Caenorhabditis elegans: one gene and its partners. The protein of the gene in region 1 purifies or fractionates together with the protein of each later gene. This does not show direct contact. Each region holds a gene or a part of one and is shown in the gene's direction. Other genes may lie near its edges.

Evidence for each region.
Region 2: the proteins of F46H5.3 (region 1) and F09E5.3 fractionate together in Caenorhabditis elegans (co-fractionation; one large-scale study listed by BioGRID). This does not show direct contact.
Region 3: the proteins of F46H5.3 (region 1) and gta-1 fractionate together in Caenorhabditis elegans (co-fractionation; one large-scale study listed by BioGRID). This does not show direct contact.
Region 4: the proteins of F46H5.3 (region 1) and ilys-5 fractionate together in Caenorhabditis elegans (co-fractionation; one large-scale study listed by BioGRID). This does not show direct contact.

Annotation. Positions count from the first base shown.
Region 1 is NC_003284.9:7,234,523-7,242,017, reverse strand, and holds the start of F46H5.3 (putative arginine kinase F46H5.3), read left to right. Parts: upstream 1-3,355; coding exon 3,356-3,394; intron 3,395-4,972; exon of another isoform or gene 4,973-5,116; intron 5,117-7,495. Other genes in the region: F46H5.7 (AMPK1_CBM domain-containing protein), read left to right, coding at 1-29, 122-214, 781-997, 1,056-1,217, 1,270-1,389, 1,439-1,660, 1,710-1,931, 2,176-2,193 and 4 more.
Region 2 is NC_003280.10:5,370,647-5,376,748, forward strand, and holds F09E5.3 (Putative deoxyribose-phosphate aldolase), read left to right. Parts: upstream 1-3,350; 5' UTR 3,351-3,357; coding exon 3,358-3,519; intron 3,520-3,579; coding exon 3,580-4,245; intron 4,246-4,291; coding exon 4,292-4,375; 3' UTR 4,376-4,519; downstream 4,520-6,102. Other genes in the region: sec-6 (Exocyst complex component 3), read left to right, coding at 539-763, 815-935, 986-1,327; agt-2 (AlkylGuanine DNA alkylTransferase), read right to left, coding at 1,491-1,538, 1,590-1,663, 1,846-2,066, 2,119-2,392, 2,438-2,567, 2,623-2,700; algn-2 (Alpha-1,3/1,6-mannosyltransferase ALG2), read left to right, coding at 4,622-4,781, 5,199-5,732, 5,785-5,933, 5,981-6,102. UniProt on the Caenorhabditis elegans protein: Catalyzes a reversible aldol reaction between acetaldehyde and D-glyceraldehyde 3-phosphate to generate 2-deoxy-D-ribose 5-phosphate.
Region 3 is NC_003282.8:10,177,103-10,185,258, forward strand, and holds gta-1 (putative 4-aminobutyrate aminotransferase, mitochondrial), read left to right. Parts: upstream 1-3,557; 5' UTR 3,558-3,565; coding exon 3,566-3,605; intron 3,606-4,061; coding exon 4,062-4,171; intron 4,172-4,855; coding exon 4,856-4,925; intron 4,926-4,967; coding exon 4,968-5,065; intron 5,066-5,389; coding exon 5,390-5,728; intron 5,729-5,775; coding exon 5,776-6,438; intron 6,439-6,523; coding exon 6,524-6,655; 3' UTR 6,656-6,837; downstream 6,838-8,156. Other genes in the region: rack-1 (Small ribosomal subunit protein RACK1), read left to right, coding at 1-145, 198-728; mspn-1 (Mitochondrial sorting homolog), read left to right, coding at 868-1,002, 1,046-1,166, 1,212-1,386, 1,441-1,882, 2,684-2,839; ptrg-1 (Tyrosine-protein phosphatase 4), read right to left, coding at 6,848-6,907, 6,958-7,091, 7,282-7,750, 7,802-7,948, 8,001-8,136.
Region 4 is NC_003284.9:6,531,542-6,539,592, reverse strand, and holds ilys-5 (lysozyme), read left to right. Parts: upstream 1-2,752; 5' UTR 2,753-2,815; coding exon 2,816-2,849; intron 2,850-3,481; coding exon 3,482-3,594; exon of another isoform or gene 3,595-4,336; coding exon 4,337-4,453; intron 4,454-5,191; coding exon 5,192-5,248; intron 5,249-5,945; coding exon 5,946-6,044; 3' UTR 6,045-6,103; downstream 6,104-8,051.

The DNA of each region.
Region 1 (7,495 bases):
GGATTCAGTGCCGATTTTTATCCATTTAGGTGAGAGACGACTTGTCGATACGAGAGAAAACATTAATTGGAAAACAAGAACCATAAATTTGCGACGGTGTCTAAGTTTTTCTTTCTTGCAGCACACGGATCACGCCACGGAACCCATTTTGCCGACTATTCGAAGGCCAATGACGCCTTTGAAAAGAACATTTCAGCTGTGCAGAAGCTTTTCGGTAATTGGTTCTATTTGGTTTACGTGGAATTTGGGGTTAAAAAGACCTATATTCGCAAAATCGTTTAGGAATGAGTATCATGCATGGGGCAAATCCAAACATGAAGCCCATTTCAAAAAAAAAAACGAATTTTCCGTTAACAGTGAAAATTTTCTTTATTGCCCCAATAGTTGCCACTATTTTCCAGAGCTGGCAATTTAAAATGGATTACTGTATAAAATTTGTTTAATGTTCTACCAATTCAAAATATTGGTTTTAATATTCTTGAAATTTTGACATATTTGACTGAGTAACATAAAAATCTGATCATCAAGCCAAAGTAGTATTTCGTGTTTTTTTAAGTGCATAGCTTTGTAACAGTTTTGAAGTACCAGCTAATTTTTTTCCTGCTCAATCAAAACACGATCGCAGCTGTGTAAACTGTGAAATCTCCAAATGCTTCAAAAGCGATCTGACATTTTTTGTCCAATTCAAACTTGTAAACATGTTGTCGGTCTCCGAGTGGTACATTTGTGACAAATTTGACCGGCGAAATTGAAACAAACAGAGAATTTGCATTATTTTAGCTGCCGCGGGACTTGGTGGAAGGTCACAAAAGGTGTATGCAGCTGGAAAGACCCGTGCTCGTAGTACTTCAAAGAAAAATCAGCCAAGAAGCCAGTTTGATGCTCAGCCTGAAAATGTGAATATCAGCGAGGAGAGCGAGGGAAGAGACTCCGAAAAGGAAAAGAACGACCGACAGCTGGAAAAGCTGAGAAACCGAAATGATGAGCTGAAAATTAGGTAATAACCCTAATTTCTCAATATGTTTAAATTTTTTTTTAATTTTTCAACTTAACAGAGTGAAAGAATACAAATCCGACTTGTCAGCCGCTCAACTTAAAGTCAAAAATCTTGAGAAAAAGTTGGAATCCGCCCAATCGGCTGATTCTGAAGAGAAATTCGTTCGAATTGATTCGGAAATCGACGAGAAACGATCCCAGGATCACGATGAAGAAATCAAGTATGATAATCAAAATGCACATTTCACGTTATTATTTAATTAGTTCTTTCAGCAACTTGCACAATGTCATTGAAGAGCTTCGAAACAAGTTGGCCACTGTTGAATCGAAAAATAAGGATCTTGAGACCAAATTCTCCGAGAATCAAGATTATTTGAAGAACGCAAAAGACAAGTAAAACATTTAAAAGTTCAAGAGTTAATCGGAAAAAAAATTATTTTAGGGTAACATTCTTAGAGAATCAACTCAACTCCGACGCTCATGAAGAAGTGAAGAGTACCGCCGTCAGAGCACTAGAGGTTAAACTCGGCTTGGCCAACAATTCAATTCGTCAAGCTGAGGCTGAGAAGCAACAGCTCCAGGAGGCTAACTGGTACGCGAACGAACGTGTCGGCAAGTTGGAACAGGAGAACGGATATTTGAAGGGAATCACTGAACAATTGAAGTAAGGCATTGAAATGACAAGCAATTTTTAATTTAGGGTTTTCTTTCAGGGCCAGAGCAGACACCTCACACGCTGAAAAAATGCTGAAGGACAGCGAGAAGCGTGTCTGGGAGATCAACGAAGAGAAGAGCAAGCTGGAGTGGCGTCTCGGTGAGCTCTCCCAATGGTGGAACGATGCAAAGTGGAAGGTCGGCGAGTTGGAATCCTCTGTTGCCCTACAGAGAAATTTGCTTGACACGGCAAACTCGAAGATTCAAAGCCTTAATGATCAGTGAGTTTTCTTTGGAGTTGGGGTCAGAGCAATACGAGATTGAATGTTTCATGAATTTAAAATATCAAAAACGGCGCTTGTAAATCATTTCATTACATAAAAATAAAAACGAAAAATTGCATGAACATCTTTGATCACTTTCTAGAATTACCCAAAAAAGGACTTTATAAAAATCAAAAACTGAATAAATTTTCAAAATAACAGATAGGAAACTTTAAAGAATTTTTTCATATTTCATTTTTAGGTTAATACAGGAAGTGAGGTAAGGAATACAGATTTTATTGAACTACTTGTAACTTAACGTCTGGAAAGCAATGCACTTTATATTTTTTTTTCTGAAATTTGCGGAGTAGTTGAATTGAAAACAATACTAACTATGTTTTGTTTTTCTTATTTAATTTTTAAAAATTGAAACGAGTGTACAGTGTATTTGACGGTGTGAATATAGTGTTCCTCATCCAAAGCAATATTTCATTCGAAATCGAAATTCCAATAATTTAGGAGTCACTCCAGCACCATGACCATTCCCACCGACGGATTCACCATTAGCCAAAGCAACCAAGGAACTTGGAACCTTGCCAAGTAAGTTATACCAGTGGTTCTCTTGATATCACTATTCCAAGTATTTGCAGCGGAAGTAACCAGCCATGTTTCACCGGAGCCATCCCATCCATCCCACTTGTCTCAGCCCTGCCATTCGCCGGAGCCAATCCATTCATTTTTGGGGGAGCTAACGAAGGAAGAAATGTAACGTTGACCATTTCGAACACAGAGCAGGAAGTTTACTTGACGGTAAGTTTTTTTTTGCCAAATAGGTCTTCATTTGATTTTTCAGGGAAGTTTTATCAACTGGAAATGCACATTGAAATGCGAGAAACTGGTTAGCGGCAAGAAAGGAGTCACGGTCAATTTGACGCGTGGAAGGTAACAACATTCAAATTCAAAACACAAATTTCAAGTAATAATTTTAGACACGAGTTCCGATTCATGATCAATGGCGAATGGGCGACGTCGAGCGACTATCAACAGGTGCCAAACGGTTTGGGCGGACAGAATAACATTATTTTTGTCGAATAATAATTATTCCCTTGATCACTTAAATTGAATTATTTTTTCTTACCTGTCAACTTTGTTTCCATTTACTTCTCCTCATTTTTTGTATCTTTATTTCTTGTTTGTATTACATACCACTCCATTCAAACTTATGCAGTTAACCACTCTATTCACTAGATTGTGTTTAGAAAATTGTGAAGATTCTGAATTTTTTCGGGACTTTTGGCATTGCCATGATGTGAATGAATATTTTCGGTTAATATTAATTCAGATTTCAAATAACTTTTGTTCAATATGTAAAGTTTTTTTACTTAATTTTTAATAATTGGTTGTTTTTTCTCAATTTTCCGAATTAAATTTTTCAATAGAAGATGTTACATCGATGCTCGAGAGTATTGTCACAATTTTTGGTAGGTACTTTGCAGTGGTTTTGTTTCACGTTGACAACTACCCTCAATACATAATATGGCGTTTTATGAAAAAATTATAAAGAAGTTAACATATACTTTCGGGCACAATTTTTGCAGTACTCTAACTATGTACTTGATTGAAATCTCAGCAATCAAGTAAGGAGCAAATAATTCAATTAATAAGTTCCATCCTCTTTTATTTAAAATAGTGTTTTTGCGCATTAATTGATTAACTTTAGAAAAAAATCAACAAACAAACAAATTTGGAAAATGTAAAAGTTTGTTGAAGATCTAATTTTTTCCAAGATAAATTAATTAATTTACAGAAAAGTTTTTTGTCCTATATCTTTTATTTAAATGTTTTTTTTTTCAAAAAGTTAAAATCAAAATATTCAAAAATATTATGAAAATGTGCTATTCAAACTGACGTCCTACACGTTTTCAAAAATTTCAAACTTTAAAACACATTTCCATATTCACCACTAGAAAAATATATATTTTTTTAAAGTAATCAGGTGTTAGTACTTGGAGTCTAAAATTTGCAAAATTGAAAGACTTGAGATAAAAATGAAAATGACGAATAATTGAGAATGTGCAAGAAATATTTTAATTAAAGGCTTCGCATGTGTGCTGAGTGTTTTCAATGTGTTCCATCTTTGTGTGTGGCTTATTTTTCAACAAATTTTTTTTCGACATTTGTTTTTTTTTCGCAGAAAAATAATATGAAAGTTTTGCATTAAAAAATGTGTTGATCAAAAATCTTTTCAAAAGGTAAAAAGGCAACTTTATTTTTGTCTGATATATAACATTTTGAAACACCTGCAAATGAAAACGCAGTCAAATTCCCATTGCACAATGTCTATTCGATTGCTGACAAAAATATACTTTCAGTATTCAAATTAACGTTAATGGCTCTTTTTGTTTGTTTACACTCCCAAAAAAACATTGTGTTCGTTCGAACCAACTGTAATAGGTATGAGCCTATTTCAATAATTATATTTTTGTTTAATTCCAGCAACAATAGTTTTTTATTTGGTGACACGATACATAATTTGTTTGTTAATCTGGTATTTTTGGAGTTTATTCCAATTTTGATTTCGCGCAATCAATGCAGTGAAATAAACTTTGTAAAATAGAAAAAAAGACTCTGGAAAGCTTGGTGATTATGTTCATAGCTAAAAATATCACAAGTAGGTTGATGTTTATGTCTAGATTGAGAATTAAATTATCTTGATAAAATCCACCATTTTTTAAAAACATTTTTCTCAACTTGAATATTGTCTAAATTATAAATTTTTAGTTAAATGTTCTATTTTTCTACTTTTCAATATAATTTGTAAAAATGTATTTTCCAAATTCTCTTGTTTTAGAAAATCCCCAAATCATTCAATTTTCAAATAACTCGGAAAAACTCAAAGTTTTATTACGCGGAGATCAACCTTCCTTCTATCTTCCTGTCTTCTCATGTAACTTCTTATCCCGTATCCCTTTTTATCACTTTTTCTGACTGTTTTCTACTGGCTCATCACAACGTTGCGTGAGCCTTTGGCCGATAGAGGTTAACTGTGTAAAGCATGTTCGGCAACTTCGGGAAAGATGGATGCCGATGAGAGCAGGAACAGATGGCATTCGACGGCAATGAAATAGCAGATGGCGGTATGAGAGTCTTTTGAACCTCATCCTCGTCGGCTACCACTTTCTTTCTTTTCACAACATTTTTTTGCCATACTCTCCGATGGCCGGAAAACAATTGTTGTGTAATATCCAGCGTTTGCGTGAGCCACCGAGTCTTGTGTCAATTCGAGTAGAGGAAAAAAGTGAAGAGAAATAAATTACCCATGTGTCAATTGTCGTTGGTCAAAGAACTAGACTGAAGAAACAAGAAAACGACCCAGAACCAGGAAATAACACGAGAAATGATGAACCTGTTATTTAGAGGAAGAAGAACCGTTCGAAATTGTTGCTCAAAGAGACAAAAAATAGTCTGAAAATGGTGCATTCCATTATGAGACTTTTCAAAAATCTCTCGGACACATTGTTGCAGTCTAAAAGTAACGTGGGTGAACGCAGAAAAAATCTTCAATTTTTCCATATGGATGTGTCGGCTGGATAAAAAGCAGGGCTACATGTAGATATGCATAACAAGTGAAGTCTAACAAGTTGTTTTTGGCGATAAATGCTGAATCGCAAGCCACTCACAAACTAATTATTTTATGGAAGTACAGAAAAAAAATTATTCAATGCCACGAGATTTGAGAAGAAATCAAAATTTTAAAAATTGGACTTTTGCACACCTTTCAATTTTTTGTGTGTTTTTTTTTAAGTGGAAAATCTAACGAGTAACTGAAAGTAAATATCTTTTCGAACAATTGAAATGAGAAAGTGTATAAGTATTGAAAAATCTTTTTTTTTAACTTTGATTACTTTTGCTTCTCGAGTTAATAATGGGTAAATTTACAGATTTGTCATAACATACAACTTGTGCTTGTTTCAAGCAAAATGTTTGAAACTTAATAATTTTTGGCAATCGAACCAATCGAGAATTACCTTTTTCAGTTTTGCACACCCCACTTTAATAGTATTTTTTCACCTCGGCACATCTTGAAATTGTAGTAATAATAATTCAGTACAGAAATAAAAGAAAAAGGTTAAGTTTGTTGTGAATTATACATTTTTACATAGGACACAAAAGAAATAAAATCCCCCGAAGATTAATAATGGTGCGTTTATTAATAGAGGTTATAATGTTTTTTTTCAACAGCGCATAACTGTGTGTGTGTTTCAATTTTTTTTTTAATTTTGTAGCGAGGCAATTGAAAATATTTATTCAGATAGTATTATTTTCCAAAATGAAAGGATGAAACCGTGGGGAGGAGGCGTGAAAATAGATAATCCTTGTTGTGATTAGTGGCACATTCAAATATATTCGATAAGCCGTATTTGGGACAATGGTTGCCAAGACGACGAATACCTGAATTTTATCCAAATCTGAACGAATATTTGGCAGTGTTATTTTTACCTTGATACTTATCAACCTGAAGCTAAAGTAATCTGTTTTTGTTCATATCCAGGCTCAACATATTTTTTTTCTTCTGGAAATCTGTCGTTATAAGTTTTCATTTTCATTGTTCATTTCTTGTAATCAAAATAATCAGAACTGATGTTCAAAAACCACTTCTTTATTTTCTACCAAGTTATTCATCATTATCTTTCACAAAGTCTTAGAAGACATTTGAAAGGTTCTGAGAGATTTTATAGGTTCTGATATCAAATCCATTCAGCACTTATCAACTGTTGACAAACAGTTTTTCATTTATTTGCCACGTCAATTCAAGTATATCCACGATTTGATATATCTTTCCAGCACGCACAGCCCACACAACCACCATGCACAGCGCAGAAACCAAACCGTTTCCTGCTCGAACTCTGCATCTCTTTGTCTCTCGCATTTCAATTGTCTTCCGCCTTTCTTTCTCAATTCAGTAAGTTCATTTGCCGAGTATTTATGAATGGGAAGAAAGGGGAGAAGGAAGGACGGGCGCCGCGGATGATGGCAGAAGGCCCCTCGCGGACCTCATGCTCTTTCTCAATTCCCGAGACACTAGGCAAGATGCGGAGTCGTAGATCCGACTGGCAAACAACTTTCTTCTCTATCCAATGTGTTTTGTGTGCGTATGTGGCAGTTGGCAAGAAGGCAAAAAAAACGCGCGGCGCCCTCCGCGGCACACTAAACCGAGAAACCGAGTGAAATGGGAGAAGAAAGTGTGTTACAAATCGGGAAGCAATAAGAAAGAGAGCAAGAAAGTGAGCTTCAGTAGTAACATGTTTGTATGTTCTTGCTTGTACGTGGCCTTCTCCCGATTGATGGTCATTGCAAAAAACGGTGTGCAGTCGCGAAGTGTTTGGGGTCACGTACACACCTGTAGAAAGGCAATCAAAAGTACAAGGACAGAACTGTAACTTAATATTCTACCGGAAAGTGTGTCAGGGCAACGTGCACGGCATCAAATCACAATTGGATAGATGCCGTTTCTCCACAGCCGTTATCTGACCTCGCGCACTTTGTAAACAGTTGAAGGAAAATAGAAAGAGGAAAACGAC
Region 2 (6,102 bases), on another chromosome or scaffold:
CTGTTTGATGACCACAAATTTCTATTGGAAATTGACCGGACTAGAGAGATTAATATAGCATTGGAAAAGTTGAATTTTGGTTCATTGGACTGGAGGTGAACATTTCAAAAAAAAAATTACTATTGCCGAGACGCGAAGTTTTCGTTCAAAAACTACGGTATCGGGTCTCGACACGATTTTTATTTTATATAAACGCGTCTTGCAAGAGTACTGTAGCTCTTCAAGATTTCCCACAATTTATGTGATTCTAATTTGTTTTATTCTAGTTTTTTCTAAAATTAATCAATATATTTTTTGCGAAAAATATAAAAAGTCGATGAAAATTGCGAAGAAACGAAAGTTTGAAATTACAGTACTCTTTCAAGTCGCACAGCTTTTCGCATTGAACAAAAATTGAAAATTGTGTCGAGACCGGCTACCGTATTTTTGGTACAAAAATCGCGAAATTTCGCGCCTGTGTATAAGCAGATAGGATAGGGGTTTCGTGTTTATGAATTTAGCGTTTTTTTTTCACCAAATTAAAATAATTCAATTTCAGAGTAAACTATCTCCGAGAAGAAGTCATCACAGATATTGCTCCAAGTCTCGTTGAAATCTTCTCGAAAAAATGGTTAACCGGAAGTGCTGCTCTCGAGACAGTTTGTATGACTATTTCCGATTATTACCACGATCACAAGCATCTGCGACCAGTCACAAGGTCCACTTTGCTTATGGATCTTCAATTTAGAATTGTTAGCGAATATTTGAAGGCAATCGAAACAAAGTAAGTAGCATTTAATTTGGATTTTTTTTTCTCAAAACACCAATATTTCAGGCGAGTGAGTCTCAATTCGTATGAAGAGCGTGCACTTGCAGGAAAGAGAATGAAAGCTGATGTTGTTCGTTTGGATAATCTTTATGCTGAATTTGCGACAAGTTCTGATATGGCTGATCAGGTAGAGATCAAAATCTTATTTCTAAAAAATTAATTTAAACATTTTTACAGCTCCCACTCCTAACATCAATTGTGGCTGCAGCTGGAGATGTGATTTCTCTAAAAGACAAATCTCTTCTGTCACTTGAAGCCACTTCATTTGCTCGGAAATTTCCAAATTGTCCTGCTGAATTGCTTTCTGCTGTTATTGCGACTCGTGATGATATTAGTGGCAGTGAAGCTCGTAGTTTGGCTAGTGAAGTTCTACAACATGTACAGTTCCATCCAAAGGATCAGATATTCGATCAACTTTTTGCTTTGCGACAACAAGAAAATTCGGAACGACTTCCAAATTTGGGAATGGCCAACATGTTCAAAGCTGACTTTATGTCAATGCTCAAGAGAGACGCATAATTTATATTTACTTATAGTTAATTTATTTTCAATTTCACTTCACTTCAATGTAAAAAATTTTATTCTCAATAAGTTTATTGCCAAAATGTTTATCAAAGCTTTGATCAAATACTTAATAGGATACAATTATACATATAATAATGAATCAATCATTTTTTTCCATTCAAATTCCTCTTTGTGGTTTTCGTTCGAAACTGATGTTGTGTCGTTTCTAAAAGATTACTTTTTTTTTTAATTTTTAAAAAGTTATTTTCATTATTACCAATGTCTGACTGGATACTGTAGATTTGCTGAGTTTCAACTCAATATCAATTTCTTCTTGTTCATCTTGTCGACCTGAATAAGTTTATTATAGTAACAGATACCTAAGAATACGATTTTTTCCATATCATTCCAGAATTTTTCTTCAAAAAACAATGTAAAAATATAGTTATTTTCAAATGAAAAATTTTAGAATAACATGGTGCAATAGACACTTTTGTATCAGACATCTATCGATTTTTTTAAAAATAACTCACCATCTTTTTTCTTCTTTTCGCCTTTGATTTTTGGCACTTTTGCTGGTTTCGGTGCTTCCTGATGTTTCTGTATCTTCTGTATAATCATCTTTTTTGGTGGGCTCTTTACTTCGGACGTACTCGGACACGAAACAGTTTTGGCACAAATTTTGGGAGACTGTTTCATAGAGATTGGAGGAGGTGCAAACTGGCGGTAGCGTTTTGGAGATGTAGGTGGAAGTCTGAAAAGTTTTTTACTTTGAATTTTAAATTTGAAAAAATCACGAAACTTACCGAGAAGTTGATGGCATTGCGGAGAAATCAAATTTTGCCGGTTTTGTCTCTTGTGGTCTTCTTTTAATATTTTTGTGAAACGTCAGAACGTCTCTAAGCGTAACTTCAGGATTCATAATAGTTGATGATGGTGTAGGACCCTTGGTTTCAATTGGTATTCCTTTGAAAGCCAGTGAATGAGCTTCTTCCTTCACTTCTTGTAGTAAAACTTCATCCATTGGATCATGTTCATGAGATGAGTAAAAGCTTTCGCGTGGTTGTCTTACTGGGTGACCTTAAAAATCAATCAAATACAAATTTTTGTTTAAAAAAATCTTACAAGGTTGTACAACAGGAAGAGGTTGTGTCTGTAATATGCAATTGAAGATTTCTTTGACATTTTTTGCTCTTCCGACATGCATATTTCTCAAAAACACAGAATTTCGATTCCAATCAGATGGTTGTCCTGTCTGAAAATATTGCGAATTTTATTTATCGTAACTAAAAATACAAAAAAAAACTTACTAGGTATTTATAGACGGATTCACGATAGCTTGAAGGTCCTCGACATCGAACAATAAAGAACTCTTCGTCGTTTGCCATACTTGAATTCAGTATTACCAAAATAGAGTAAATCCGGAAAATCTATTGCGAAGATGCGCGCAAAGTGCGTCAGCTGAGTGCCGAAAAGACGTCAGCAGTTGTATATCTCTATTTCTCTATGCTCTCTTCAACTTTCAGTTTTCTCTACAACTTTTACAGTAGGTTTGTGTAGAATAAGATTTTAAAAGTGGTTTATTGTAATTTTGTGACTTTCATAAATGCGCATATTATAAATAATTCTTATTTTTTCAATAAACGACCTTTGAGATGATAAGCGGATCACATATAACTTATCGAATGGCCTCAATCATCAAAATTGTTATCAACTGGAACAAAACGATAAAGAAGAAATTATTTTATCGGTTTGGTCTCACGATTTTTCTTGCCATTTTCGCGAACAAAAAGTATTCTTATTTTCTCTAATTTGAAACAATTATTATTTTTTGATTGTTTCAATGCTGTGAAGTATTTATTATTTCAACAAAAAATTGTTTCTTGTTTCCCACCAAGATAAAAAAGTTGTGCACTTTTCCGTTCTAGTGTTTGCACCAATCTTGCTCGGTGCGCCACGATTTTTATTTTTAATTATATAATTCCTCTTCAACTCCTCGTTTTATTCGAAAAATGTTCTAAAAATATTCAATTTTCAGTCACAAAATGGCGACGATCGTGCCAACACTCTTCTCATTCGTTCGTGACACTTACAAGGGCCGTTTCGACGTGGCCACATTCGAAAGAGAAGTTGGACGCGATTTTGATAATCAGGAGATTGCTCAGGCCATCAGCAAATACGAGCAAGAAGCGAAGAATTTGAGAAATGTAAGATTAATAATTCATAAGCATAATTCTTCTTTGTTTCTATTAAAATGCTTGTTTCAGAAAGACGAAATTCGCAAAGTAATTCAATATATTGATCTAACTACCTTGAATGGTGATGATACTGCGAGCAAAGTTGTTGCATTGGCAAAAAGAGCAATCAATCCAGTCCCAACTGATCCATCAATTCATTGTGGATCCGTTTGCGTCTATCCTCAAAGAATCGCCGATGTCAAGAAATTCCTTGCTTCTTCGAAGTTAAACTCCAATATCACTTCAGTAGCCGGAGGATTTCCATCTGGACAATATCATTTGAAATCCAAAGTTCTTGAAGTCGAGCTCTCTGTTGCTGATGGAGCTACTGAAATCGATATTGTCATCAGCAGAGCATCAGCATTGGACGAGGATTGGAAAACTGTTCACGATGAGGTTTTGGCATGCAAGAAGGCTTGTGGCTCGGCTCATCTCAAGACTATTTTGGCAACTGGAGAGCTGAAAACCTTGAGCAACGTCTACAGAGCAAGTTGGGCAAGTATTCTCGCTGGATCCGATTTCATCAAGACCTCAACTGGAAAAGAATCTGTGAACGCCACATTGGAAGTTGCTTACGTTATGTGTACTGCCATTAAGCGTTGGCATGAGCTCACTGGAAAGAAGGTTGGATTCAAACCAGCTGGAGGAATCAAAACTGTTGATGAAGCACTCTCTTATGTTGCTCTTGTCAAAGATGTGAGTGTTACTTATTCTAAATACAATTATAAAATTCATTTTTCAGATTCTCGGCGACGAATGGCTCAATCCTCACTTGTTCCGCATCGGAGCTAGCAGTCTTCTTGATGATTGTCTGAAGGGTCTTTAGATCAGTTTTTGTTATCATCTTTTTTTTTTGTTAAGGTTTTCCCTATTCACTTTTTTTTTCGAATTGCCATAGCATCCATGTTACAATAGGTTGTGCCACCCCGAGTTTTACAGAGATTTTAAGGAATGAATAAATAAATTGTTTTATTTTCTAAAAATTAAAAGTTTATATAACATTATGTTTATATTACCATGCTCATATTTTAAAAAAATTGAATACAAGAATTAAAATATTGAATTTGGTAGTATGGTCCGGGTAACCATTCTCCATCCAGATCTAGGCATCGGTGGAGCCGAACGATTGATTGTTGATGCTGCTGTTGGATTACAGGATCGAGGACACTCTGTTCGGATTTTCACGAATCAATATAGTAGATCGCATTGTTTCCAAGAAACTCTAGATTTGGGTGAGTCGTATTGCCTTAATGCAAAATTTCGCGTTTTTTTGTGCCAAAAATACGGTAACTGGTCTTGACACGACAAAGTTGTGTTAAAAGTTATTTGTTTAAATATTTAAAACTCAAAAATTTCAATAAAAACATTCATTTTTCAAAATTCGCAAAAAAAAAATTGAAAAAATTTCCAAATTCGTGTTTTGTTGATATATTTAGATATCACATAAATAAATATATTTTTATCGAAAAACTATAAAAATTGATGAAAATTCCGCGACAACAAAAGTTTGAAATTACAGTACTCATTAAAATTGCATGCAATTTTTCATTCAAAAAAAAGAAGTCACATACCGTATTTTTGTCGCAAAAATCTAAAAAATTTCGCGTCTCCGTAATAATACCAATCGTCAAGCTGATTTCATTTTTCAGATATTTGTACTGTGGTTCCATGGATACCCCGTTCAATTTTTGGAAAAGGTCATGCTCTTTGTGCATATCTTAAAATGATCATTGCTGCTCTCTACATTGTAATCTACCACAAAGATACTGACGTCATACTTTCGGATTCTGTATCTGCTAGTCAATTTGTTCTTCGTCATTTCTCAAAGGCAAAACTCGTATTCTATTGTCATTTCCCGGATCGACTTTTAACGAAACGTGATGGAAATCTGAAAGCTTTCTATAGAAATATTATTGATTGGATTGAAGAGTACACAACTGGACTTGCAGATGTCATTTGTGTCAATAGTAATTTTACAAAAAATGTGGTTCGTGAAACATTCAAGTCACTGGCATCTCAGGAGCTGACCGTACTCTATCCTTCGTTGAACACCGAGTTTTTCGATTCGATTGAAGCTTCGGATGATTTTGGTGAAGAAATTCCACGTGGTACCAAATATGTTTTCACCTCACTGAACCGATTTGAACGAAAGAAGAATATCGTTTTGGCTCTAGACGCATTCGGTAACTTTAGATTTTATATTTTTAAAAACCTGTGTAATAAATTATTTTGCAGAGAAATTGAAATCGAATCTTCCTGCCGACGAATTTTCGCAATGTCATCTTGTTATTGCTGGCGGATATGATTTGAAAAACCCAGAAAACATCGAACACTATGATGAACTTGTTGAACATATGAAGAAACTGGAGCTCCCAGCTGATCAGGTAATAAATACGAATTTAGCAAAGTATAAATTACTTTTAAATTTCAGATCGTATTTCTCCACTCACCATCTGACACTCAAAAAGTAAATCTCATTCGGAGAAGTCGTGCGGTACTTTACACGCCTGATAGAGAACATTTCGGAATTGTTCCAGTTGAAGCAATGTACTT
Region 3 (8,156 bases), on another chromosome or scaffold:
AGTGAGCACCCGTCAATTCATCTCCCACACCAAGGATGTTCTCTCTGTTGCCTTCTCTGCTGACAACAGACAAATCGTCTCTGGATCCCGCGACAAGTCCATCAAGCTGTGGAACACTCTTGCCCAGTGCAAGTACACCATCACTGTACGTTTTTTCAAATTCTTTTATAGGAAGATTTATCGAAACTATTGTTTAGGATGATTGCCACACCGATTGGGTTTCCACCGTTCGTTTCTCTCCATCGAACCGCGATCCAGTGATCGTCTCCGCAGGATGGGACAAGGTTGTCAAGGTCTGGAACCTCGGAAACTGCCGTCTGAAGACCAACCACATCGGTCACACCGGATACGTCAACACCGTTACCGTCTCTCCAGATGGTTCCCTCTGTGCTTCCGGAGGCAAAGACGGACAAGCTATGCTTTGGGACCTCAACGAGGGCAAGCACTTGTACACCCTTCCAGGAAACGACGTCATCAACGCCATGTCCTTCTCTCCAAACAGATACTGGCTCTGCGCCGCTGTCGGATCTTCCATCAAGATCTGGGATCTCGAGGACAAGAAGGAGATCGAGGAGCTCAAGCCAGAAATCGCCAGCTCTGGAAGCTCAAGAGGATCCAGCCCACAGTGTATCTCTTTGGCCTGGTCTCAAGACGGACAAACCCTCTTCGCCGGATACACCGATAACATCATCCGAGTGTACCAGGTGTCGATCCGTGCTTCCAACTAATTTGTTACCTGTTAATTCAAAACCCTTCAATAAAATTGTTGATATAATTTTGTATTCAACCATGTCAGATAAATTATTCGCGTTAATCAAGAATATCTAGCAGATGATAAAACAGCAAGGTATACTTGTTATGTTAGAGATGACGGATCGTAATGAGTTGATCGGTGTTGCAATTCGAGTAGTGGCGGCGGCTGCAGTTTCATTTCTATCAGTGCGCTATCTAGTCAAGTACTTGGATCCAAATTATAGTGTGAATGAAGAAAGCAAAAAGAAGGTTTGTAGATTTACAACACTAATTTTGTTTTTTTAATATACAGGTGGCACAGCTGTTTCATGAACTTGGTATCGATCGTCAAATAGAACTCTCAGAGCACGAAATTAGAATCGCCACGCAGTTTGTTGGCGGAGAAGACGTTGGAGCAGATTGGGATGAGATCGGTAGAACAGAAAATTGTTTCGCAAAAAAAAAGAAAAATTTTACAGGTGGCTGCGAAGAACTTGTTGCTGAACTAAAGGATCGCATTATTTTACCCTTGAGATTCGCATCGCAAAGTGGAAGTCATTTATTGTCTCCTCCACGTGGAATTCTTCTTTATGGACCACCCGGATGTGGAAAAACTCTTTTAGCGAAAGCAGTTGCAAGGGCAGCTGGATGCCGGTTAGTTATTCATAAATGCAGAATTGACCTGTTTTAAATATTGCTACCTTTCAGATTTATCAATCTTCAAGTGTCAAACCTAACTGATAAATGGTACGGAGAGTCTCAAAAACTTGCGGCCGCTGTTTTCTCTGTTGCTCAAAAGTTTCAACCAACAATTATTTTCATTGATGAAATTGATTCGTTCCTCCGAGACAGACAATCTCATGATCACGAATCAACAGCAATGATGAAGGCACAATTCATGACATTATGGGATGGATTTTCTAGTTCTGGAGATCAAATCATTGTTATGGGAGCTACAAATCGTCCACGAGACGTTGATGCTGCTATTCTACGCAGAATGACTGCAAGATTCCAAGTTCCAGTACCAAATGCCAAGCAAAGAAGTCAGATTCTTAATGTGATTCTCAGGAATGAAAAGATCAATAATACTGTAAATCTCGGAGAAATCGCACAGGCAGCAGAAGGTCTTAGTGGAAGTGATTTGAAAGAGGTTCGTGCTTTTTTTCTTTTTAAAATTTTAATCAAATATATTACATCCCCGAAATGGTCGTAATATTATTAGTTCGCTTTGTGGCTATATATGTCACATATATTCTAGTGGAATTCGGTAACGAAATATTTAATATAAATCTGTTCAACATGAAAAATTGTAGACAATAATATATCTTGGATTTCCTATAAAATCCAATACATTTTTAACATGAATTAATAGTGAAACAGCAAATAAGTATATGTGTTTTTATTGAAAACTACGAAAACTCGATTAAACTTTTGCAACAACGAGAGTTTGAAATTACAGTACTCTTTAAAGGTACACACCTTTTCATAGTTAACATAAAATTTCGTGTCGAGAATATTTGGGGCAGAAATCGCAAAGTTTTGCGAGCTTCATGAGAATAAATTGCTGTTTCACAATTAATTCATGTTTCTAATGTGAAAAATGCATTGGATTTTAAAGGAAAAATGTAATTTGTAATATGATAAAATGTAATATAATTGTCTACAGTAACCTTAAAGGAAAAAAAAATACAAATAAAAACATTAGTGAAGAGAATTGTATATATTTAATACAAGTTGTTCTAATAGTGAGCTTGAAAAAACTTACAATTTTGAATTTAATTTTAAAAAAACTCATTTAAATTATTTCAACTTCTTCCAAAATCATCTAAAAATATTTAGAAGTTAGATACACAATAATTAGCTTAAAAAATAATACGCGTTCGAAAATTTTAAGTTTTTATGTTACAGGAAAATGAAACGCCAATAATCGTGTTGTTATGTAATTTTTCAGGTTTGTCGTCTTGCTCTTCTCGCTCGAGCAAAAGCTACTGTAGCTTCTGGAGGTTCCGTAAATCAACTTCTTCCATTGGAACAGTCCGATTTTGAGTCAGCAGTGCATAAATATATGAGAGCCGCACATTTACTTGTTGAAGAAACACTTGATTAGTCTTAAAAGTTCAAGAAACGAATGTTTTATTTCATGTAAACTTCTATTTCTTTTTCTCTAAAAGTAGTCCATTCGTTCTTGTAGGTCTCAATTTATTATACCTTTTTGTAGTATAAAGCTAAAGAAATGTAACGGTGCTTTGACTTAAAATCGAAAATCTTTTTTTTTATTCCCCGGAGCTTCTAGAACAGATTCAAAAACTAATATTTCTGATTCCTGATTTTTTACTTCCCTATTCTTATGTATTGCATTGATTTAATAAGTACGTTTAGATTACCGGTTAGATTGTATTCTCTTTTTCTCTTTTCTTTCACTTGTCGATATCTCCAGAATCTGAAGAAACAATAAATCGATCACGTGACCCCATCTCTTTGTGTCAGTTGTCCTTCCGATTACACCCTTCGTGCTCTGCGAGCCTTTTTCTTTGCACAACGTGGAGCAAGTTTACACCATTCACAGGCTCAATATAAACGTCTTCCATTGGCTTCCAATTTTTCAGTTTACTTCTTCAAACAATTTTCACTAGAAAACGCATTTATTTCCTTCACTAAAAAACATAAGCTCCTCCCCCTGCCTTTCTCTGCGTCTCGTTTGACGCCTAAAAAGAGAAAACGGGAGAAAAAATTATTCGGTTTTCTCCTGCCACTTCAAATTTTACTCTTCTTTCTCTTTGTTTTTTTCAAATCGATTTTCGAATAATTTGAATAGTTTTTTTCAGAAGGAAGAATGCTTCCCAGACTGGCAAAGTCATCTTTAATCCAACAGGGTAAACCAATTAATATATTTTGGATTCAACTGGGATTTATTTAGGAAATAATTTAACATATAATTTTTGATTTTGAAAAACCTAACCTGCAGCTTTTTAGTTCTTCTAGATACATTCATTTTCAACCCTTTTTACTTGCATCTTTGACCTAAAACACATTGAAAAAGAAACAAACAACACTTTTTTGATTCTCTTATCAGTTTATCAGTATCACAAACATTAACGAAGGCAATTGATTTTTCTCGAGTAAAACCGAATAGGGAAAAGATCAGAAAAACTGAACGATAAAATCGAAGTTTTGGTAAATTGGCAGGTATTTTGATATTCACCACATGTTTCAATTTGGAAGATTAAAAAAACAAAATTTTCTGAAATTTTAAAAAAATACTAAAACACTTCAACACCATGAGAATGTTTCCAAAAAATGCTCTGACTCAATTGAAACGTTTATTTTAGTGCGTGGAGTTTCGGCGATTGCAAATGCCGAGCCATCTGGACCTAGTATTTCAACGAGCATTCCTGGACCAAAGTCAAAGGCGTTGAAACAGGAAATGGATAAAGTTCATGTAAGAATTGAGATATCGAAAGTTAAATGGTTTTTTTAAACATCATGGACCTTAAAATACCTTCAAATTGTGATAACTTATTTTTTATATCTATTCTAAATCTTATACGCTCATTATGTATTGGTTTTAGTTTTTGACAATTATTCAGTGGCGAAATCGCTTGAAATTACTTTTCAAACAAAAACTTTGGCTGAACTTTCTGACAACTTGCTCAACAGAAGCTCAACATTGTCAATTTGATTCTAAATTATTAAGAATTATAAGATAGATAAATTATAATTTTAGATTACAAAACATTATTAGCTATTTAATGGTCACACAATTGCGAAGAATTTCGAGCCATTCAGTTCAATTTTCAAATCAAAAACCAACATCTCAACTCCGTAATTACATGAACATCACATTCTTACCCTTATCACAGAACGAATGAAATTCGTCTCAGAAATATTACACTTTCTCTGGTCAACTGACAACTGACATTCAGGAGTTTTGATTATTTGATTTTAGTTTTTTTAATTTCAAATCTTCAATTTCATTGATAATACAAAAAATAAAATAATATTTCAAGGAAATTTAAATTTTATACATATTGTCAAAAATACTGTAGTTATGAAACATATGAATCATTCCAAATGCAATATGAGATTTCAAAATTTTATAAAAATTAAAAAAATTTTTTTTCAGCAAACTACATCCGTTCGTTTCCATGTCGACTACGAGAAATCATTCGGAAATTACGTTGTAGATGCTGATGGTTAGTTTTTATTTTCAGTTTACACACCAGGATTTAATTTAGGAAATGCACTTCTCGATGTCTATACTCAAATATCATCTCTTCCTTTGGGATACAATCATCCAGATTTGGTTAAGGTCGCTTCGCAGCCACATTTGATTGTGAGTTTTTATAAATTGATTTCAAAATCAATTTTTGAACCTCTTACAATCAATTGGAGCATTCGAACTTAGCCTTCCATGTACGCATGAAAATGTTTTACGCCGCATCCGCATTCAGGCACAAATACAGAAATTAGGCGGTAGGCAGTCAGGCAGGCAGGAGGAAGGCACATAATGACCATATTTTCACATTAACCGTACACCTAGAAACCAGTAAAAAATTAAATATTAAGTGATTTGCCTGTCTGTAATATTTGGATAAAACTAAAGAAAACAAGATACTTACTGAAAAGTTGAGAAATGTATTAGAAAATAAATTTTCAGACATCTCTTGTTTCTCGTCCAGCTCTTGGATCCTTCCCACGTACCGACTTTGCTGATGGAATTTCTCATGCTCTTACATCAATTGCTCCAAAAGGATTGAAGGCAGTTCAAACAATGCTTTGCGGTACATCGGCCAACGAGAATGCAATCAAAACTGCATTTATCTGGTATCAAGCTCAGAGAAGAGGAGGTCTTGGACCAGATGCTCTTCATTTGGAAAGCTGCATGAATCAACAGAAACCAGGAACTCCAAATCTTTCAGTTATGGGATTTGAAGGAGCTTTCCATGGAAGATCTTTGTGCATGTTGTCGGTTACCAGAAGTAAGCCAATTCATAAGGTATTTCAAAGTTTTATTTCGAAACAATTCTAATTAATTATTTTCAGGTTGATATTCCAGCATTTGACTGGCCAATTGCCAAGTTCCCCCGTTATAAGTATCCACTTGACCAGAATGTTGCATACAATAAGAAGCAAGATCAGGAGTGTCTTGCTGACGTTGAAGCGAAGATTTCCGAATGGAAACGTCGTGATAATGATGTAGCTGCAATTATTGTTGAACCAATTCAAGCAGAAGGTGGAGATCATTATGGAAGTCCAGCATTCTTCCAAGGCCTCCGTGATATTACTTCTAAACATGGAATTGTATTCATTGTTGATGAAGTTCAAACTGGAGGTGGAGCAACTGGAGATATCTGGGCTCATGATCACTGGAACTTGAGCTCTCCACCAGATATGGTCACATTCTCAAAGAAACTTTTGACAGGAGGATACTTCTACGGAGAACATCTCCGAGTTAAGGAGGCTTACCGTATTTACAACACATGGATGGGAGATCCGACCAAGCTTCTTCTTTTGGAAAAGGCTGTTGAGGTTATTAAGAGAGATGGATTGATTGAGCAGAGCAGAGAAGTTGGAGCTGAATTCCAAAAGAGACTTGGAGAACTTCAAGCATCGTCTGGAGGAAAGTTGGATCAAGCCAGAGGAAGAGGAACTTTTGCCGCCGTTGACTTCCCATCTGGATCTTTGAGAGACAAATTTGTTGACTTGGTAAGCAGAATTAATAGTGATAAATGTCAAATTCAGCCATCTTACATTTATATATTAAATTTCTTAAACTTCAATTTAATTTTAGGCCATCAGCAACGGACTTCACTGTGGAGGATGTGGAGACCGTTCACTTCGTTTCCGTCCATCACTCGTCTACACCAAAAAACATTTGGATCTGACTTTCGATCTTCTCGACAAGACTTTGAAGGGATTGTAATCATTTTTTCTTTTGTTTTCTCTTTAAAGCTGTATCCATTTTATTTGCTTCGCTGACCATCTAGCTTGTTATTATTTCAAAATATAATTAATAAATTAAATATTCATTTATAATGACACCGGAAATTGATTTTTTATTGTTTCTTCTCGGGAAGTTATACTTCGGATCGATTCCAATTGAATTTATAAATTTTTAGACACGTGTTCCTCCGACTAGCTGTGACATCTTTTCATAGATTATCTCGATTTCTTGCTGAAAACAAAATAATTTGGTATTGGAAAATGAGATAATTCGATTTTCACCTTCGAGGCAAAAATACCACACTGAATTTCGGTATACGATGAAAGAACCTGTACCACGTCAACACAACCCGTTGTCTCCAGTTGACACGCTAAAGTTGTGGCTGCACAAATACTGAATGCAAGTGCTGTATCATCTGAATATTCATCAATTTTGTTATAAATATAATATAATTAAAGTTTAAAGTATTTACAGATCATAGTATGTACGTTTCTACGCACACTACCATTTTTAAACTAGAACCAAAGGGGTTTTTATAAACTCCAAATTTGTGTTACAAAATTTTTTTGAACCAAAAATATTGATAGATATCAAGCTATACTCACCATTAAACAAAATAGAAAGTGATAATGTAGAAGTACTATCTGTTGGTGATGGAACACTTGGTGGGTATTTATGAGCCAGAATAAGCAATGGAGCATCATGATAAGTGATCCTCTGTTTTTGAACATTTTCAATTTCCCTCCAAAAATCAGTATCCAAATCTGCTCTTGACACATTCACAATTCGAACACACAGTTGTTGATCATCTTTTTGGAGCAGGACAAAGTTATCTCCGTGTTGAAGTTGAATTTCACCATCGTATATACAACTGGGAAGTTTTCTCCAAAACGAGTCTCGTTGGTTTAGAATCACAATTGTTTGAACTTTTTGTTGCCATGTTAATCTCCAAAGATCTTCACATTCATTACCCCATGATCCGACCATGAATTCATCAGATCTATGGTATCCTGGGAGTGTTATGACGTCTGATTCAATTAGACATCGAGGTTGATGTTTGCAATCACAGATATCCTTGAATAAATACTAAAGTTGAGAGGAGTTAGAAAAATATCTAATACAAACCTCAAATTGCAACTGCATTCTTGTTTTTCCGTTCAAATTTTCTTCGGATAAGTAATGCAGGTATCTCATAAAAAGGTCTGAATGAACTCGTGTGATTCCGTGACGAATCAATTGCCGGATAGCTTCGTGGCAGAAAATATATTGCTCCTGAAATCAGAAGTTTTGATACTAAGATTTCAAAGAAAGTAGATATTCTTACCAAAGTCTGCACCAATTTCGCTCTTTGTCTTCTCATATGTGTCAAATGTCCTTGAACATTGAGTCTTCGGAAACTAATCAAATGCCTTCTCATGCTATCAACAAGGATATATGAACCAGATCTACCAACTCCGGCGCTGAAAATATAAAATTAAAA
Region 4 (8,051 bases), 700 kb from region 1:
GTACATCCTGAAGCAAATCGGATGTTTGCTTGTTGTCAATTGATGACTCAGTTCTTAGAACTTCATGTACTGACAATTTGGTTATCACTATCGCAAAAAAACAATCAGACGGATGCAAGAATAGCTAAAATAGTCGCGGGTTCAAAATAGATATTCGTATATACGTTCTGCAAGGTTGACTATAAAATGTTTTCAGTTACGTTTCAGTTACTTATTCATCACATTACGTACTTATTCATTGTCAAAGTAGATTTAGCAATCAAGCACTATAACATAAGTATGACGTTGTATTGACATTAACGGTGATTGATTCTGACAATTCATTCAGCGCGGACGAATCCGATTTACGTCGTAACTATATTCTTACCCAGTGCTTTGTTTCAATGGGTTTTATCAGCACAATAAGTTAAATTGAAGCGTAAAAAGCAAACGACATGTGTTTTTTCACACTCATCATTACGCTTTATTTGGCCATATCACATCACAACATGGGTCAAAATTCTTAGTTCTTGAATTCTTTGTTTGTAACGGATCTCAAAAACAACTACAACAAATTGAAAAGTGGGACGTTGAAAAGATGGAAACGTTCAAATTCAAACACGTGGCTAAGAAGGAGGAACTAGCTCAGTGGAAGTTAGAGCAGCTCAAAAGCTCGCCGGCGGTAATAGTTTGTTTTCGAATGACACCAAAGATTCGAGACTTTCGTTGATTATAAGAAAGGCCTTTTTTCGATGAAAATAATAATTAACAGAGAACGTGGAATCTCTGTTCACAATTTCCGAACTTAAAATGCGAGTTCTAAGAACACAATTTCGAACATCTGCTGTTCAAGTACAATTTCCTGGTCCGGTATGTGAAACATTTTCTACTAGTCCAAGCTTCACTTAGAATACTAAATAGAGTTTGTTCTCAACTGAGTCTTCAGCTTTCGATTCCTTCCTGTCTTTATATAAAAACATGCGCTTCTGGGAGTAAGTTTGTTTTTATTAGATAAAAATATTATCATTCCCTTGTTATCTTTTTGTTATTGTGTTGAATAATCAAACAAGATAATTTTCATTTAAGTGTGTGAAGCGTCCGACCAATTCAGAACATTCCTACTATAACCAATGTAACAGTCTATGTATAAAGTCACATGTTACCACACATTTTATGATTTTTACGGAACTAAAGAAGAGTTTTTAGAAACTACTTGGTACATACTTATCAGAATGGTTTGCACGAAGGAAATTGGTCTTGAATTTCAATTTTCTCTGCCGCTTCTTCCAATCTCCCAGCACACCCATGTCTATGAAGCAAAACCAAATTGCGATGGAATCGGAGCAATTTTTGATATCAACTGATAATGTTCATTCGTTTCCGAAAAGTCTTAACGAGGCGAAACCATGCCGATCGCACTATTTACAGATCATATTATAACAAAAACGGTTTGTGTTTCATTATTTGATAGCACAAACTGTAGACAAGGAAATACGCACCTAGTTTGGTTTGCTGGAAGAGCATGACAAAAGAAAACAATTCTCCATAAAAGCGTCTAAAATGTAACAATGAAGATCGAAAAGTAAAAACTTGTGGCAAAGTTCTAGACTGGATAATTGATGCGACAACCAAGTGGTTTTGTTGCGTTTTTAGTCACGATTATTCCAATTCAGGCTCTCAAATGACGTCGTCACACATAATGAATGAATTATGACAAAACAGACTGCACTACTGAAGAGAGCAATGCGGAACGAGGATTCAGTGTGTAAACTAAGGTAAATCCGCGTGAACGTCGTAACTGCTTGGATTTACTGTCTATTCACTCATTAGTGAGTGATATACTTGTATTGAATGAAATTTCCTAAAGCTCCCGTCGTTACGGAATTCACGGTCAATTGAATTTACAAAAACCGTCCGTATTCAAAAACATTATTATAAAATGAATAAAAATTGAATTGTTCGATGTTTGATTGTTTACTGTTTTGGTTTTTGTTTAGATTATTCTACTTGTACTTGAATTGTCCTTTTAACATTTTAGTGAAAATAATCAAGCTTGAATGAGTTTTTTTTCAGTTTCACATGACTTAACCCTTGCACAAAGTTGTTGAGCCGGAAACTAAAGCTTACTCATTAGAAAAATTTACCTACTACCTGATCGTAGTTAGGGTTTTTACAAATAATCTTTGTGTTAAAAGAGAAAAACACGCTTGTTTTGTGAAAAGAATGCTGGTTCGAGATGTATCTGGGGAACTGAAAAACGTCGGTTCAAAAATTAGCTCAATATTATTTTTAATGGAACTTTATAAGAAAAAAACATCATCACATAAATACGAAAATCTAAATATTACCTCATTGAAATTTGAATAACAAAAAAAATGGTCAAAGACACAAATAAATATAATCTTGATCCTATTTCAGAGTATTTCCTCGTCCACCCCCACCAATCAAAAGTATATTAGGAAGCCGCGTTCTTTTTGACCCGAAGATTGGATTATAAGATTAGCAACAGAGGTGTATCCTTTCACGGAAAATTGCAGTCCATTTCAATAATCACAAGATTTCTGATTTGTTGCATTGTGTTGGTTTTCTGGGGAAGGATATACGTTTTTCTAGAACTATCCATGCCACACTTTGATTGGCATTGAAAGTGGCATCAATTGCTCTTTCGCTCTGCGATCACAGAGCTGTAACTCCGCCTCTGACAGTCTTCGGTACAGGTGCTTACGTAGGAATTACCGGGTTTTGAGATAAGGAATTGTGATCAAAGGCACGTGTAAGTTGATATAAAAGAGAGTCCAAAAGTTAGCAAACTCAGACAGCTTGTCCATCAGCCGATATGTTTGTCAAATCGCTTCTGCTCCTTTCTGTCGGTGAGTGTGATAACAAAATTAAAACTGGTTTCAGTGAACAGCAAAATTGTATAAGATCTAGTAAATCACCAGCTCAAAAGAATTAGATCAAAACCAACATGAAATTGGATTTTTAAGGTGCTAATTTAATTTCAATGTTTACATTTTCTTTTTTTTTTAGTTATCAGTTGAAAATGTTTCGATAAGTCTGAACACTGATGCGTTCAATCAATTAAAACAAAACTAGAGAAATTTTTAATTTCCATAAGGCTGGTAATATCTTCTTTTAAAAACAAAGAATGAAACGTCATTTAAAGTTTAATATCGGCTAACCAAAGATTAATCTAGACTCAACTACTCCCATATTTAGTGTTAACTCTTGTTGTTGTTTGCTTGTTTATAAAATTTTATCGGATGAAAGTTCGCTTAATATTAGCTCAAATCATTTCTCGGCTCACGGGACATCTGATTATAGGTTTACAGCTAATAGCACGTTTTGAAAGCTAAATATGTGTTTCACATTTGTAAAAAACAATAGGGAAAAGTAACAACAATTATAGATCGAAGAAATAGGAGAAAAATAAAAATAAATTGAAACTTTAAAAAAAGGCAGAGACAGCGAATAGAACTATTTCGTGATTACGGTATTTCAGCTATTGCGTACGTTTCCGCCGACTGCCTCCACTGCATCTGCATGAGAGAGTCAGGATGCAAACCAATCGGTTGCCACATGGACGTTGGATCCCTCTCCTGCGGATACTATCAGGTAAATCAAGATCAACTAGGGAATATGTGAATCTAGAAATGGAAATAGCAGAATATCAGAACACGTTTTCAATTTTGTCATGAAACCATACAAGATGTTCGGTTGCCTGTTTATTGTTTTGCCATTTAAATAAGGAAACAATAACACTTCAGAAAAATACGTGAAATTCAAAAGCTCATCTTTCATGTCTTCATTAATTGATGGTTTTTGAAATCGGCACGAAATGTTTGTTATGCCTCATTGAACAGATATTTCTTTAATGAAAATCTAGCATAATTGAAACGGTTCATCGGACCACAGCCCCCATATTTTTCACATATCTCTTCTCAAGCGAATCGGAAGTTCCTAATCAGTATGGTAAAATAAATCGCGTTGAATTTTAATTTTGAGTTTTTTCGATAAAAATGTATAACAAGAAACGATGTTTTAAATTGCTAAAACAAAAAAACCACAAAAGAGCAAATGCGTACTTTCCCGAGGAAATGGACAGGAAATGCTTTGAAAATGTTAAAACGGGATTGATTTTTGTATAGGGGAACTTTTGCATTGAAGCTAAGAAGATAAAAGGCATACTAGAAATGAAAACTTTCAAAACCATGTAGACAAGGAAATTGTATGGAACAACAACAAGGATATACAAAAATTGAACTCTACTCTATGTATTCCAGTTTTTTTTAATTTTAAATGTACCAAGACCCAACTATAAAAAGTAAAGAATAAAAATATAATATGTTTCTTTTAGATCAAGATTGGATACTATGAAGACTGCGGACAACCAACAAAGAAGGCTGGAGAGACTACTGAAGCTGCCTGGAAGAGATGTGCTGATGATCTTAACTGCGCTACCACTTGCGTCGAGGTACGTGCAGATTTAGCAACAGGATACATGCAAAAAAAATCATCAAAATTCTTATTTTGGGAAAACGGGTGTTGAGTGGGTGCAACTTTTCATCCTTAAATCGCAAAATTCCGGATAGACTGCGGCTTATTTCAGTCATGGAAGCAATTCTATCCTTTGGGAATCTCGTCATATCATTCTCAAAATTAAAAACTTCGCGACTAAATTTAGTGTACGAATTACGTGGATCGCCCACCTGAGAACTCAAATTTCTACTATCTGCCGCTAATTGAGGCAAATTAATTTAAACGTCATGTAGACAATACTGCGATGAGTAACTTTTCTGCAATTTCAACGGCGGAACTAGAAAAAAAGGAACTAGCTCAAAATAAGTTGCGAGATAATGTCAAAAATCACAGAATTAACCTGTAAACAAAAATGCACACATAGCAAACGAGCCCAGCAAAAAACGTCATTGTTAGCTTCTATGTATGGCTATAGCGGTGGCGACGTTAACGACATCAAAGACAATAAGTACTTATTGTTATCAACACCCCGCTAACAACGTGCTTACCACGCCATAAAAAGTAGCAAAGAAAGATTATGACGGCTTGAAAAGAGGTTAAAGAACTCTAATACGGAATGAATGTTTGCACTCTTCACAAAATTTATTGAATACGTCAAAAATCACATATACAAAAGAGGAAATCTAAAATTTTAAAATCTACATGTTATACAAGCATTTTGAAATAATTTCAGAACTACTACAACCGCTACAAGTCTCAGTGCAATGGACTTGGAATGGGAGCTTGCCAGGTGAGTCGCCTACGCAGTTGTTGTTTTGCTCTGGGCACTTTCAAATTGTGTAGATGAAATACAATTTAAAGTTTTCGAGTGTCTGGTAGTTTGGAGGAGGTTGCCCCCCGATTTTGATTTTTGAATTGATCAGAAGGAAACAAAATATTTCATAAAGTGATGCGAAGTTTTAGGAAAGATACAAAAATTTCCGCGAAAAAGGGGTCAGAGTTTTTTATTTAGAGCAAGAATGCTACTACGCAACTAACTATAAGAGGTTGAAAATTAAATGTCGAACATTTCTATTTTGGGTAGCAGGGGAAAACATTAATATGCCATAGTCACTAGGTAGGTGAAACGACCCTCTGGAATAGAGAAATTATTGCAGACCTGAACAGGTCTGACGTAGAAATGTCTAGAGCATCCAAGTAGTATTCCACCAAAAAATGTACATATACTTCCTGACAATTTTTGGAAAATTCTGACGACAGAAACACTACAATTTTTTCTCGATTCTTTATCTTTTAATCATTTTGGTCACACTTGAGCAGTTTTTTAACATCATTTCATTGAGTGGACATGTGTATTTGACAATTGATAATAGTGGGACTAACAATCAGAAAACTACGTAGCATTTTCAGAAGTATGTTGTTTTGTTCAAGTTAGGACAAAAGACCTTAGATTTCAATCAAGCAAATGGCAATCCATTCAATTTCAGATCATGTCCCGTAACCACAACGGAGGACCACGTGGATGCCACAACGCCAACACCTTGGCTTACTGGAACGGAGTTAAAAGCTGCTGTGGATGCTCTTAATTTTCAATTTTATCAAAATAAGAATATATATGAATCAATAAAGCTTATTTAAAATCAAAGTAGAAAGGATATCAAACTTGTTTATAAGCTTTTCAAAACATAGGTTGCGAAAAAATGCGAACGTTTTGAAAAATAATTGAGTAGGCGAAGAGGTCAGTGGGTTTAAAATGATGTCAGAGTGAACAATTTATGAGAACAAGCATATCGTTTTCTAAATTTGTAAAGGTCTAAGTAGACCACCATCTATGTCATAGGTTGTATCTTAAAATAAGTTGACCCGTTTTATGATCTAGTTTTATATTCTTTTTGCCTCTGGTGAGAATAAACAAGGCTTTCAATTTGTCTGCTCGATGATGCATGATGTTTACGATACTTTCGGATTAAAATAATCGTGAGATGGATTTGCACGAAAAGGTTGCGGAACGAACAGCTCGAATGATATTAAATGATAATCTCGAATTGTCAACAAAGTACATTATGAAGTGATAGGAACTGTTGTTCGCAGACCTGAGATGTTTTGAAAACTTGATTTTAAAACCTACGCAACCGGAAAATTAAAGATCACAAGATTTCTGTGAGGATCATAACGGGTGTAGGTAGCAACTTTATCTCGGTGTTTCCACATTTCTATTTCAGGCTTAAAAACAAAGTTGGTCTTTTTCGTTCTCAAGTTGAGCTCAAGACAGAAGTTGGGAAAAATATCATTTTCAGATTACCAGCAAACTTTTCAAAACAGAGCAGAAAGAAGAAAACTGATCATTCGTGATAAAATATTTAGTCTCCCGAGGATGAAAAGTTTAAGGAAGTTAACTTTTTTATCTGTTGTTAATAACCTATTTTTTAGATTGAGTATTCAACATATGTTAAAAAAAATGTTTTCACTTCAAAATTTGGAAGAAAATTAGGTACTTTTCCGATTTTTGCCCCCCAAAATATGTTTTACTCAATATTTCAATTTAAATTCACACGTGAATGTTTATTTTAATACTATTTCAAATTTTTAGGCTTAGAAAAAACAATACTAAGCCTGAAATTACAAAAAAGTTCACGTTTCATTAATGAAAATATCGAAACATTTTGGGGGGGCAGAAATCGGAAAAGTACCGAAAATTAACTTAATTAACTTGATAAGTTCAAAACTTGTCTGAATAAAGTAAAAAAACCAAAGATTTTTAAAAGTTATAAAGTGATGCTTTTTGATTATCTATCGTATCCAAACAGGTGGTCAGACAAAACAAACGACACCTCGTGAGAATATCCAGACAGCTAACAAGTGACTGTGAAACAAGGAAAAACTTCAGAACACATATTAACTGAAAAAAAAAACACTTAATTTTTCTTACTTTTCTCTATTTTGTTCTCAATTGATATCATCTCTTTGCCGCTGGTTTTTCTTGCTCTGACTCTGAGCAAGATTTTTATTGGCACGTGAAAAAATTGCATCATTTCAGGGCACCACTGAGCGTGGTCCTGTAGCATGTGACCAACAAAAATTACGAAAAGAAATTAAAAATTTGTTTACTTGAAATTGTTGTAAGTTATAAAAAAGTTCCCTACTCTTGATAAGAACGTCTTATGGAATTCGATATGGATTTTTTTTAATTATGTGTACATTTTTTTACCTAGATTTAGAATTTGAGCCGCGTTAGGGGGGGCTTTTGTGTAAAATTGATTTTTTACAGACGTACAAATCTGTACGAAAAAACCAAAAACAAAAATAGTAATAAGACGACTTGTATACGCGAAACGATAGAATAATTTTGCAAACAAAAATTCTCAGCTTCTGAAATTCTAAAAAAAACGAGTTCTCGCGTGTATTTCTCTCGAGCAATCACTTGATTTATTTTTTGATTGTTCAAACGTTTTTATTTTTCCCTTTATTTTAAACTGAATTATAACAACAATAATTAGTAATTCATAAAAACAATTTGAACTGAATACTAGCTCAACAACATCTGTAATTAGTGGAAATTTCTGTTTTAGCGACATAGTAATTTATAACAACGA